Linked DNA regions of Bombyx mori. The main gene of each other region encodes a partner of the protein of the gene in region 2 in a complex. Links are inferred from orthologs where the notes say so. Each region holds a gene or a part of one and is shown on either strand. Other genes may lie near its edges.

The links. Proteins that work in one complex are often made in the same cells at the same time.
Region 1: eukaryotic translation initiation factor 3 subunit F (region 2) and eIF3h share a complex: the UniProt entries of both Drosophila melanogaster proteins name them as parts of the eukaryotic translation initiation factor 3 (eIF-3) complex. The link is inferred for Bombyx mori from reciprocal best matches to the Drosophila melanogaster genes eIF3f1 and eIF3h.

What each region holds. Positions count from the first base shown.
Region 1 is NC_085110.1:3,930,992-3,934,678, reverse strand, and holds the start of eIF3h (eukaryotic translation initiation factor 3 subunit H), read right to left. Parts: upstream 2,953-3,687; 5' UTR 2,937-2,952; coding exon 2,859-2,936; intron 1,856-2,858; coding exon 1,638-1,855; intron 1,530-1,637; coding exon 1,370-1,529; intron 697-1,369; coding exon 492-696; intron 1-491. UniProt on the Drosophila melanogaster protein: Component of the eukaryotic translation initiation factor 3 (eIF-3) complex, which is involved in protein synthesis of a specialized repertoire of mRNAs and, together with other initiation factors, stimulates binding of mRNA and methionyl-tRNAi to the 40S ribosome.
Region 2 is NC_085124.1:491,208-494,967, forward strand, and holds the start of eukaryotic translation initiation factor 3 subunit F, read right to left. Parts: upstream 2,458-3,760; 5' UTR 2,403-2,457; coding exon 2,294-2,402; intron 2,027-2,293; coding exon 1,880-2,026; intron 958-1,879; coding exon 734-957; intron 1-733. Other genes in the region: DNA repair protein XRCC1, read right to left, coding at 3,412-3,549. UniProt on the Drosophila melanogaster protein: Component of the eukaryotic translation initiation factor 3 (eIF-3) complex, which is involved in protein synthesis of a specialized repertoire of mRNAs and, together with other initiation factors, stimulates binding of mRNA and methionyl-tRNAi to the 40S ribosome.

The sequences.
Region 1 (3,687 bases), on a different chromosome or scaffold from region 2:
AAATCAATAGTTTTACACAAAATGAAGAGAAAAATGCTATGTAATGTTTTCTACTAAATATTATAACATGAAATAATAAAGAAAAACCTCTCTGTAGATTGTTTATGATGACCAACATATAGATATGAACATTTAAGTAAAGGAAGAAACATAATCTTCAGGCTCTTAAGAGCCACCTCATATTAACATAAGGGAATCGAAGTTTTAATGACATTGGATGGATGTTTATCTGTACCCTTTAAGAGGACACTTTCTTAGTAGAATTAATAAGCAAGATGATAGTGAAAGCTCACCTGCTTAAAATTGTCTATTGCCATTCCTCCACATAGTAAAAATTACAAGTTTAATATAGCAGTTAGGAAACAACTACTGGGAAAAGTAGTAGCTTCAGATTGCAGCAAAGGAATCAACCCATAATTGATGTAGTCAGATGTAGCCTAAATCTTGAAAGCTTTTCTGATAATTGTATACCATAGTAAAATTAAACAAACCTTCGAGAACAGATGCAGTACCCAGATCCAAAAACTTGGATCCTTCCTCTTCAGGTATCATCTCGGTGAGCTCAGAGATCATTATGTTAGTTAATGGAGAGTTCCGGATAACAATTGGCACTTCAATGAATAGATTTTCATAGCCAATCTTCAGGTTACGTAGTGCTTCCGGAGTGTAATCGCCTTCCTTGTACATAGCAATAGCCTGTAAAGTAAGTATTAACCTCAATTTTACATATATTCTTATTCATACATGAACACCCAACTATACATAATGTTTTCACAATATAAATATAAAAAAAAAACAACAATAATTTACTTGCTTGTTGATGAGCATATTGTGAGTCCAAGTTACTATTATTTCTGCACGTAATAATAATGTGTTTAAGGATTGAGAACAGTCTTACATCTTAAGACATGTGTATAAGAACATACATTACCATCCTCTTTATATTTGCTGGGAATCATACATTCATTCTGGTTTAATGGTGAGACATCAAATATATTTTTTTTTATTATTTTTATTGCCTTTGTAGGCAGACGAGCATACGGCCCACCTGATGGTGAGTGGTTACCATCGCCCATGGACTTCAGCAATGCCAAGGGCAGAGCCAAGCCGCTGCCTACCGCTTAATGCACTCATGTTGTGATATCTGCAGGTTGCATGGACCACTTAGATAGTATCCCCATAAAAAACATTTAAAATATCTCAAAAATATAGATTCTGCCATTCACTTAGCATTAACAAGTGATAACTTCACTAAATATACGTAATATAAATAAATAAAATAGCTCAACTTCAGAAATTAGTTCTGTCATAAAGCTCAATTAACAACATTAGCACTTTAAAATGTGTATAGTTATGAGAGCTTAATTACCTGAGGTGTCAAACGATAGGCCTTCAAAGTCAAGAATCCTCTGGCTGATTTCTTTGTATCGTAAATCACAACAACACTCTCCTCAATAGAGGTCTGATAGTGATATTGTGACTCTAATAACGAAAGGCTTAGAAAATTGCCTACATCTGCACTCTGGTACCTGAAGAAAGATATGAGGTATAAGAAAAAAGAAAGTTCTGCTGTTCTAATTTAAAATATTGTATGACATATTTTGACATACTATAAAACAATTTTCAATATTAATTACCATCCAACATGAAAATGATCAACATTGACTCTTCGAAGCCTCCTCATCATGTCCAACTGGTATTCCTCCTCATCCATGGTGTCGTCATGCTTTGGAAATGGGAAGCAGTTGGTAATCTCCAGACGGTTCTCAACGACCAAACCAAGGAGAGCTCCCTGAGCCACCTCCATGTTGCTGCATGATTCTTCATGACAGTGTTTCACTATTTTCATCACTGCCTAAAATAAAAAGCACAAATATATTATAAAAGTGGGAGCAGATCTGTCATTTCAAATGCTTGAGTTAGTTCGATGAGGATTTGTTTGATTACCACATATTAAACTGTTTTACCACTACTTTAAGCATGTTTCAACTAAATAACTTCAGAGAGGATATTATTCAAGGCAAGTTAAAATACACTTTAATGTGTAACAAGTTTAACAAAACAAATTAATACCTACCCATCCCTAATAAATTATTGCTATATTAACTTTCTGTGTATGTGTAGGAAATCAATCAGCTTGCTATTTGCAATCAATCAGAACAAAAACTAATCTCAATCATTTACAGTTAGGAAACTATAAAATTATCAGTAAATAGTAGTATAGTATATAACAAAAAATGACTTCACATATACTATCAAGATCTAAACTTTGTAATGAAGCATAGTTTAAAACACTAATTATATAGTTCAGAGAAAATTTAATGTTTTAGATGTACAGTTAGGTGAGATCATCCTCCTATTTCAATGACCCCCGGGCTCAGGGCAAATGTCCCAAAACAGTCAATGACTCAACAACGTTTATATGTTGTAAACAGAAATAAAAAACCTTTGTAGTCTTTTATTTTCTTTTTATATCGAAAGTTTTTTGGTTCATAGAATCCTATAGAAATTAACATAACGAATTATTCAAGGTTTGGTGAATTGTCAACGTTTGCCCGATTTATTTAAAAAGAAACGAGAGCACAAAATTGAAAACATAACCTATACAATTATCTTTATTATTGCAACGGCAACCTATTTTATTGTAATCTAAGATCTCCTAAAATCATACAACACGAATCATGTTCCAGATCATAATAATCCACCTTAATTGACGATGTTTACTTCTATATATTAATTAAATGGTAAAAATACATGACGTGTCGAGGCACGAACTTTCACAAAGTTTTTAATTTAAAACCTACAGTTGACGTCCGTCTCAGAGAACCTATCTAAACTTTAATTTTAAATTTACTTACCAGTCCATCGCACTGAACATATTGGATCGTCGCTTCATTTTCAGGAGCGCGTCTAGCTGAACCAGCACGGCTCGCCATTTTTAATTCACAAGAGAACGTTTGATTTGATTACATTTTAGTGTAGCTCTCCAAATCGACTATCAATAGCTATCGATAATTGTAATCGATACCTTATTTGCAATCGACACTATACGACAGATTAGCCTTTAAAAATACTACCACGAATATCACATCTCGATTAAACTTAAACACTGTTGGAACTATATACCAGTTTTTACAAATTTCTGGGTTTTAAAAAGAGTAGGTATACGAAGACATACACACGCTAATGAGATTAATATAGTAGTTTTTATATCCCAGTTACAATGCAATAAATAAGTGCCGTAATTTTGCGTATTGTACTATGGATCACAATGATAGTTAATCCTAATGTTTACGGTATAAATGTAAAACAATTAATGCATTATGATCTTGTAAATATTCTTTAACAAATCCATTTTTAGTAATGATAAAAATTAAGGTTTAAAAGATTTTTTATTTATATGATAAATCTCAAATGTTGTTCAATCTTTTTCTATTATCCATGTATAAATTGTATTACATTCTTACAGATTTTGAATTAAAAAAAATACTATAAAGTTAAGTGATATGGCTCGAATTACACTTATAGACGTGAGGTCTCATTATTTGCTTTAATAAGGAAGTGGTATCAATTCGCGTTATCGCTGTATTTATATTTTACCGTTCGTCAATTTGTAATTAATCGTTTATTTATTAGGTTGTACCTTATGGAACATTTTGTTAACTTACGACTTTTGCTTAAGACTCT
Region 2 (3,760 bases):
ACATTGTTTTTGTATTGTTTTCTCGTCAATATAGAACCTATTCTATTTCGTGGAACTAAATAACGTTGTTAATTTATCGCATTCTTTTCGAATGGACACGTGTCCCGGTGTACCGTCCTGTTTGTCAGACTTACTCAGTTTATCGTTAATCAATCGCGAGGGAAAAATCTGTTCTGCATCATGTCAAAACGGAAAATTAAAGTACTGTCATTAAGTGATAAACTTAAAATAGTGAATGCGTTTGAATCTGGAAAATCGCGAAATGACATTCAGAGGGTTCATTAGGGAGAAACTCGGGTTAGTGAGAAACCTCTATAAGCGAGAATGAGATTGTGCTCCCTTTAACTCTCGCTTATCCAGGTTTGACTGTAATTCATACTAAACATTATTAAATTATTAACATTAAATATTTATTATTAATTTATGATTATTAAAAAAAAAAAATTAATAAAAATTAAGTATAACTTCTTACGCGCGCACATAAGTACACGCACCCTTTTTTTATTTAACAATATAACAATATGTGATTCCACACAATGCAGTTTTGGAGTTCATGGATATTGAAATATTAACAAATTTGAGTCTAAAACAGCTCATGATTTTGAAGCCTTTTGAACACAAATTTAAACCTGTAACAGTCAGAGTTTAATGGCCTTTCAGCAGTTTTCACCATATTTTTGCTTAATAAAGCAAATATTGACAATGAATACAGTACAAAATCTTCAATAATTACCTCAGGTTCATAGCATGTGAGAGTGACATCTACAGGAGTGAACATGCAACCTTGCTTTCCATTTGGCACTCCCAATGGTACACAAACATATGCACGTAAACCCATTCGACCTCCAGCCAGCGAAGTGTCCAGAGTAACATGGACAGGCTCACGGCATTCACGGGAATAATACTCGTGTATAACAGAGGAGTGGTTGGTTACTTCATTGCCAGTCGCCCACCAACCTAAAAATAATACAAATGAGTTTGAATTTAAATGTATAAGGTATGCTAAGGGAAGTAAAAGATCCAATTTTATTAATTGGCAATTGTCAAGAGTGTTAACTATAAATGTGGAAGGCTATAGTGGAAGAGGTAGACCTAAGAAGAAATGGATGGATTGCATGAAGGACAATATGTGTAAGAGTGGAATGAGCGAAGAAATGGTATTATGATAGAGGAGTATGAACGGAGAAAATATGTTGCGCCGACTCCAGGTGACTCGGAGAAGGGCAGGAAAATGATGATGATGTGGCAATTAGTTGATAGTAAGATGCAACATGCTGGCCCGCAGATTTACTGGTTGCGATAGCTATGTCAAACTTACAATTTTTAAAGCTTATTGCCAGAATTTTTACGCCAGTAGTCTGTGGACCACATACACGCGGAGAGCTTACAATGCCCTACGTGTCCAATATAATAATGCGTTTAGGATGATGTTGTCACTGCCGCGCTTTTGTAGTGCATCCACAATGTTTGCGACATCTCACACAGATGACTTCTTTGCAATAATGCGGAAGAGAAGTGCATCGTTATTGCGTCGAGTTCGTGACAGTGACAACAGTCTTTTGAGAATCATATCGAGCAAGATCGAGGGACTGCTGATCAATAGCCTTTGCAGTAGGCACTTGGAAGGAGAAAAATAATAATATATAATGGTATAAAATGTATAATATAATGATAGTTATGTGTTAGATTTTTAAGTTACTAACATAGATTATAAGTAATTATTACTAACAAAATGTTATGGTTTTAAAAAAAAATAATAACTGAAATAAAGCATTAATAATAATAATAATAATAATAATAATTAGTGTAAATTGTGTGTGTATGCGTCTGTGAGTATTGTTACATATGTGAATTTGAGTATAATGCAGGTATAGCTCACCAACAATACTTTCAGAGGAATTGACTCTTCTGTTCAGCTCGTAAACATCCATCGCGTAATTAAGTTCCGCTTCGACTTGATCGGCATGTTCTTTGTGTGGCACGCAGAAGCAGTTGGTTACTTCCACCACTCCTTTGTCGCTCGTGCCTGCAGCAACAGCACAACATAACCTTACAACGCCTTTACACATTTGTATTGCACCTGGCTTATGTGACCAAGGAATTTATCAAATTAACTATAACGTTGATGTGGAAAAGCCAAAGTGAAATGTGTAATGATAATTGACGTACATATTTAGCATTTAGGGATTTTTCTTTTAAATAACAACTCATAAAATTTGGTACACGACATGACGTTGACAACTAATGTCCTTTGAATTTATAGTTATTGCATGATTTATAAATCAATACGAACCCAATAAGGTGCCGATAACTCTGTGAGAATCTGCATTTCGACGTTCGTATGCGTCCACAATTTGAAATAAAACAACAGGATGGACCTTCACACTAATATTGAGAGCCATTTTTAATTCGACCAAAACTACAAACCCAGAAACACAGAGTACAAGAGAATATTGTAGGTATTATCTCTGCTAATTTTAATTTTTTTAGGGATTTTATGAACTGGTAATTAAGACCTTTAAGTCATGTCTTATTTTTATGAAAAATGATAATATGGAGTGAAATGAAATAAAATGAAGATGATTAATTTGAGACATTAGGGTCAATTCCCACTGAAAGAGCAGCGGCGCGCAGCGGCCGTAAGAGCAAGTGATTGAGCGCGGCGCCGCAAGGGGCAGTGTGGCGCCGCGCGGGGCAGTGCGGCGCCGCGAGAGGCAGCGCGGCATCCCGAGGCGCCGCAATGAACCTCCGCGTAGTAGCTTTGAAAACTAGTGTGCGATCTACTTCACTCAAGGAAAGTTGTGTGGCAATAAATATGGTGGATTTGGATTTATGTATCATAGCACTGGCTGTAGAAGAAGAACAAGAAGTAACAAACAAAACGGAAAGAAAAAGGAAAAGAAAATTTTGGGTACATTTTTTTCTCACGGAGCGTAGCACGTTCTAACTTGATACCCTCTAATAAAATGACGCGAAATGCGTAAGCGGCAGGGCGGGCGGGTATGAAATGGTCGCTCGCGCGCAGCCGCGAGTCTGTTAGCTGCACCGCGGTCGGCCGCACGTCAGCTAGCTGCGCCGCGATCAGCCGCGCGGCGCCTCTTTTGACTAGTCGGTAGAAGGCTCGTGCAGCCTCGCGACGTCACGCTACCCCTCCTTTGCCTTCAAATGACTATGAACTTTTTAATCACGTAGATAAGATTCAAAATAGTTTGTAATATTTTGCCTAAAAAAGACGCTGCCGGCCGCTGCTCTTTCAGTGGGAATTGACCCTAATCAACTAGAATGAAATTAAATGAAATGAGATGATATGGGATCTTAGTAAAATGGTGGTCATTTACTGAGATTTGTGAAAGAAAAGGCGTTGTTAGCTGACAGTTATTTAATGAAAGGAATTCACAAGTTGAGCTGTCGTTATATTGGACACAGTTTTCGTTGTTGATGACATTTCCACAGCCAGGCTGCAGTGACGGCGCGGCCCTTGATTCGCGGCGCGGCGCCGTCGTCGCACACCACGTAATCTACGCGGCTGTCCTCATCCAGCTGAGACTTCTGAAAAATGTACATTTGTTTAAAATTAGGAAAATATGTATATTTATCCAATCATAGAGGAAATGTGACAATCATGAAATTTTTTAACTATTTTGAATTAATATAAATTTATATAAATATAAATATAAGAATATAAATTTATTGCTCTTGTAGGCAGACGAGTATACGGCCCATCTGATGGTGAGTGGTTCCCGTCATCCATGGACTTCAG